2 linked regions of the Caenorhabditis elegans genome follow. The protein of the gene in region 2 interacts with the protein of the main gene of each other region in a pairwise test. Each region holds a gene or a part of one and is shown on either strand. Other genes may lie near its edges.

Region 1 (3,158 bases), on a different chromosome or scaffold from region 2:
CTTGCATCGTACGACTGTGTAGTTGATGTACGAAATGAATAAAACTTTGAATTTTTTCCCTGGAATCGTGGACTTACACTTTTATTTATTTGACAATTTATATATATTTAAAATGCCATGATTCCACTATAAAAAGTTCAAATTTCAAAAAAATTTATAAATTTCAAAAAAAAAATTGAACTTTTAACGTGAACTTTTGAATTCCCCTTACCTCCCCCTTGCCACACTAACAATTTATTGCTACATACTCGTCCGACAACCTCAACCGTCGGATTAAACAATCTGCTCAATTGATTGGTTAGCTATGGCTTCCTCGTTCGACAACCAAATGGATCAGGATGGAATGTGCTCCGTGTACTCTGCTCAGCCATCGGAGACAAATTGCTCCATCAATGAGGTGCTTGCCAAAGAAATTATCGCTGTCAATGAGACGCCAGATGATCGTAAGTTTTTATTGTCTTTTTTTTGGGAATATTGAGTTTACAGAAGCTGATTCTTCGATCTACCCAATCCCAAAATCAGAAACAAATGTGTCAGCTAGCGAAGGGTTCCAGCCATGTCAAGATATCAATCAATTCAATTTGTCCGTTTACTCTGCTCCAAAATCCGAGACCCCAGTGACCATGAATGAGAAGTTCGAGCGGTGCAAAGACTGTAAGTTAACTGCAACAACTCTATCTTGAAAAACCAAAAATTTTCAGTGATGAACGTTCTTGACTACTCTGTCTACTCAATGCCACCATCAGAAGCAAATGTTACAATGAATGTTGCAAGCTTCTCGGAGTACACTGCCCTTGCCTCGGAGACCAACGTCACAATGGCTGATGTTCTCAAGAACGTTGCTCAGGATTTGGCGTCAGAGCACACTGCAAAATCAGCTCATCCAACATTCGACACCACCGCCTACGTAGAGCGCCTTCAAGCCGAGCTCGGGATTCCGGATAGCAAAGTGATTGGATTGGAGTGCAGCAATTTTTCGAATGCGAAGATCATTGATTCAATTGAATGCCTTCATCAGTTGGACAAATTCCAACCAATCCCGGTGGATTTCGATCAGAATCCTGATTTTGGAAAAACTGGTAAGAGTGAAGTTTATTTAAGAAATAATATTTTCAATTTCAGCCAAATCTGTGGAAAGCTACCTCTTGCGTTCATCCAATGCCAGTTCAATCCATCACGAGATCTGAAGAATCGGAACAAATTATTGAACTTGGTCTATAAAAAATGTCGAATCATTTTTGTTGTTGTCTATGCATTCGTAATTTCTTGGTTTTTTGTATAGCAAATTTTTTGATGACTATTACGATAGTTCATGGAAACGAGACTTGTGCCTGGCCGCCTTTTGCACACATGAAAGCGAGGCGGACAAAATGAGCCCCGTCATGGCTCCCGGGTTGAACACCTAACAAGACGGGAATTCTTCTAAAAAGAGTTGTCTTATCCCTATAAATCTGAAATTTGCATCAATTCTTCACCCGCCCTTGTTGCGATCTACCAGCCTCGTGGTTCTAAGTTACTTCTACCATGCTATTTAATGTTAACTGTACATAAAATGTGGTGCTTCTTCTCAATTTCCATTATTTCCTACTTTTTGAGAGAACTGTTCGAAAGGAGTTGCCTCTGTGAGCATCTATAAATTCTTTGTACAAGTTTTCACCAATCACGTGGCAACCGTGTTCTTTAAATTTTTATAAAATTAAATGTTTTCACGTCTTTCCTACTAATGCCTCAATGTTCATTTTCTTATATTCAAAATTTCATTTCAAAAAAATTTTCAAATCGATCACATCTCGAGAGATCATAATCATGGAGTGTTCTCAGGAAGATGTCGTCAATGGTAATTTTACTGAGTTTGTCATGCCGTCTGAACCGTAGAATTTCAGATTTCATTGCTCTCGAAAAGATTGGTTCAGAAGTGGATATCAATTTGGATGGAGTCATCAAAAGCAAGGAGTGTAGTAACACGAACGAAGCAGATATTATTAGTAACTGTGAGTTGCCTTTAAACGATTTCAGATGATCTTGAATCACCAGATTTTTCAGTGATAACCGCAATCGAAGAATCTTTGAGTTGTACATCGGTCTGCACAGCTGTATCATTGGAGACAGTGGCACAAAAGTTGGATGCCTATGCAGATCCTTCTTTGAATACTCAGATGTCTTTCAGTACAGCATCGGATTTGAGTTCTATGGAACAAGATTATGTTAAAGGTGGGATTCCGTCTCAATTAAATTTTAAAAAATTTATTTTCAGCTTCAGATGATCCTTTCGACCTCAATCATCAACCGTCGCCGCTCCAAGTCTGGCGTGATCAAGGCAAAATCACCGGATTTCAAATGATGTGTGATGATCAGAAGGTTACTGTAGTTGATTCTCTGGAGTGCTTAGCTCAATCGGAGCAACATTTGGAACCAGTTTACTTCGATCCACGTGTCAACCTTGCTATTCCGTGCCCGCCAGATGATTTTGAGATTCTTGAAGACTATGGTTCAACATCCAATGCATCAGTCAATTCGGATGACGCTTCAACCGCAGAACTTGGTCCGACGTCTGAAGAGTTTGAAGAATGGGTTCGGAAAATTGAACAGAACTATTGAATAGCTATTTGATAAAATACATTTTTTCTCATTGAAGATAATAGTTTTGCATATCTGACTCTGCGTCTCCAAAGTCTAAAACGAGTTGAAAACAACAACTGCCTAGGCCCCCTGTCGCCTCGCGTGTGCACATTATACTCTTTCTACTTTTGTTCCTCGCGCTCTCTTTTTCTAGTTTTCGAACACTCTCTGCATATCAAGAATATTCAAAGTGTTTTCTTTCTCTGTTTGATCTCCGGAAATTGCTCCAAATTTACACAAATTTGTGGTCAATTGGTGTCATCGCGCTGTTTCTTGTTTCGTATTCGTTTTTCGTATTTTAAACGAACATTTTCGTTTTCAACAACGACAATAACGAAATTTCCCATTCATTTCATACACTCGAATATTTTTTCTTCGTTTCCAGAACTTGCCATGAATATGCTCCGCTGCTTTCCGGAGTGTGGGATTTGCGGGCAGGAGTATTCAGAAGACGAAAAGCTCCTAATCCCTAGAATTTTGACTGGTACACCGTGTGTTTTGATTCTTAATTAAAAATTATTTTATCTTCCAGAATGTGG
Region 2 (2,849 bases):
TGTCTGTGATATTCCATCGAGAGGACTCAAGACATCTGCTACTTTCATTGCAAACTCCACTGCAATCCAGGAACCACTCAAACGTATTTCTAAGCAGTTTGCAGGTGAGATTTCATAAGTTTAGAAGTTAGAGCAAATTGTATGAAACTACTCTACAGGCCTGTTCCGTCGCAAAGCATTCCTTCATTGGTACACGATGGAAGAGTCGGAGTTCACTGACGCCGAGAACAAAGTGAATGATCTTATCTCGGAGTTCCAACAATATGAGAAAGTTCATTCAGCCTAACTTCTCCGTGTTGAGATTTCAGTTTGATATCGAAAAAATTTTCTTAAATGATTACCAAATATAGTGGGAAACCACATCAGATAATGAACAATATTATACGTTGAATTATAATCGTTTCAGATATTTATTGATTGAAACATTCATAGGCAGAGTTAAACGAGAAAAAGCCCGAAGGCAGGAAATAATAATCATTTATTATTTAGTGTTTCAGATTATTTGGTGATTTAGATCTATTTTCTCATTCGGCAGTGATCTTCACGATGACTTCACCTTGCTGTGCTCCAGCTTTGAATGGTGCTTGAGGATCAGTCTCATCGGCTGGCACTTCAGCATATTGAATGACAAGCTTGTCAACTTTTGGTGGTCCAGCAATACGATTGATATCCAACTTGGTTTTTCCCTTCGGATCAATGAATCCGTAGACGGGACGAACACGGTAGTGCTCATTGTTCGACGATTTCACCTTGAATGCCAAACGAGAATCCGACTCCGAGACGATGTTGTGAACCGAATTACCTCCAGATGCAGGGAAGTTTCCAGTTGGTGGGTCGACGTTGATCATTCTTCAAAACGACGGTAATGGTCTTCAACTTCAAAAGAAGGGAATAAATCGTTTTAATCAATTTTGCCAGAATGTTGACATTTAGATAACCTTTACTGATAAAATAATCAGGCTACGTGAATGATGTGGAAAATTTAAATTTAAAAAACAATTAAACAAGAATTTGAATTATTTTTAGTTTCTATTTTTCTACTCGTTGTTTCATCATGTGGGCGTTCTTCTTCCTGTGGTTAGTTCAATTTTATTGTCAACTCGAAATATGTTCTCACTAAATGTTAAAATTAGAACTTCAATCTCGTTTCCTCCGAAGGGATGATACGGGCACTCAGGTTTACAGTAATGTAGGAAAGTAAGGTAACTGGAACGTAGCTAGGCGAATACGTACGAAGGCGTAAATTATAGATAGACACGTTCTGAAAAAGGGGCGGCCCTTATAAAACATGAAAGCCACAGCACACATCTGAAAAATTCTAGAAAAAAATATATCAAGTTGGTTATTTTCTAGTATTTTCTAGTTAAATTTTTTCCAGGATGACACTAACTGTAATTACATTTCTTTTGATCATCGGTAGATGTACAATTCTCATTTATCTTGTCTTCTGTGTACCAATTCTAATGACAATCCTCTAATGACACAAGTGAATCTAGTTCGGTAAATACACTTGTTACAAATAGTTCGTCCATTTTTATTATTTTAGCATCGAGAAGTATTTTTCAAGAAGTTGAATTTTGGCGGACATCGTGGATCACCAAAAAGAGCTCCTGAAAATACGATTGAAAGTTTGAAAAAAGCAAAGGAAGACGGTTGTGATCTTGTTGAATTTGATATTCATATGTCATCGGATGGAGTTCCACTCTTAATGCATGACGATACAACTGAACGGACTGGAAATGCAAAGCTGAAAGTTGAACATTCCACGTGGCAACAATTGGAAGCAGTTGTATTGAATCCTGTTAAGTGAGCAAGTTTTCAATTTCGATTAAAAAATTCTAAAAGTATTTTAGCGGAGTTAATGCAAAAATTCCACGACTCAATGAAGCAATCGATTTTTGTGTGGAGAATGGACTGAAGATGTTATTTGATATGAAAAATGATAACTTGAAGCTTATGGAAGCAGTTTCTGAAGAAATCAAAAAACGAAATCTATATGATCAGGTCATGGTTAGCAGTTTCAATCCAATTGTCCCGTGGAGGCTAAAGAAAATTGATCCAAAAATTATCACTGGTATTATTTTTTCTTTTGAGAACATGCCTTTAACATATTCGTTTTTTTTCAGGAATCACTGTCGATAGATCTTATTATTCATACAGCGATGATCACAGAAAAAGTCCATTCTCCACAAGTTTCTTTGCTCATTTTTGGAATGAAATTCTTGATGAGATTAATATGATTATTCAACCACTCTATATTTTACCCAGATTTCTAGGAGTTGATGTGGTTATGATCAGTTTTCAACTGATTTCAGAGTAAGAAAATTGATTTTAATATAACATTAAAATGAATCAATTTTCAGAAACGCCGTTCGGGAATCAAACGAAAAAGGATTTTCAGTCATTTCGTGGACAGTAAATGATGAAGATTACATGAGAATTCTTACAAAACTCAATGTTCCATTCTTGACGGATATTGGTTCTGAAGTTGATCGGAAAATGTTTATGAAAAAATAAAACTTTTATTTAAAATGTTTTGCTAAAGTCCCGATTAGATTAACAGATGTGTAAAAGATGTGGTGCAGGTTGGAAACGACATGGTTCAATTTAATTCATATATTTTATTGTTTTAGGCAATTAATTTCAAGTTTAATCCGTATTAATTTTCGGCGTGCACTCTTCCAAGTTGGTGAAACTTCAAATAAAGTCTGGATCTAGATTACAACAAGTTACCGTAAAAATTCATTCAAAAACAAAGCTCGAGACATGGAAAAATAATAATTTGACGTTCTGTCAAATTTTTAATTCCATAAAGAAGGACAAGAATTGACTGAAAAGCACCGAAATAA

What was found.
Region 1: the proteins of ssp-35 (region 2) and ZK945.6 interact in a two-hybrid assay, tested with the Caenorhabditis elegans proteins (one large-scale study listed by BioGRID).

Annotation. Positions count from the first base shown.
Region 1 is NC_003280.10:10,105,551-10,108,708, reverse strand, and holds ZK945.6 (Ovule protein), read left to right. Parts: upstream 1-1,738; 5' UTR 1,739-1,806; coding exon 1,807-1,837; intron 1,838-1,883; coding exon 1,884-1,991; intron 1,992-2,043; coding exon 2,044-2,211; intron 2,212-2,254; coding exon 2,255-2,598; 3' UTR 2,599-2,629; downstream 2,630-3,158. Other genes in the region: ZK945.8 (PPP1R11/YPI1 family protein), read right to left, coding at 1-7; ZK945.7 (uncharacterized protein), read left to right, coding at 305-443, 487-654, 702-1,079, 1,123-1,187; putative RING finger protein ZK945.4, read left to right, coding at 3,013-3,103, 3,152-3,158.
Region 2 is NC_003283.11:12,262,976-12,265,824, forward strand, and holds ssp-35 (MSP domain-containing protein), read right to left. Parts: upstream 849-2,849; coding exon 525-848; downstream 1-524. Other genes in the region: tbb-6 (Tubulin beta chain), read left to right, coding at 1-104, 159-286.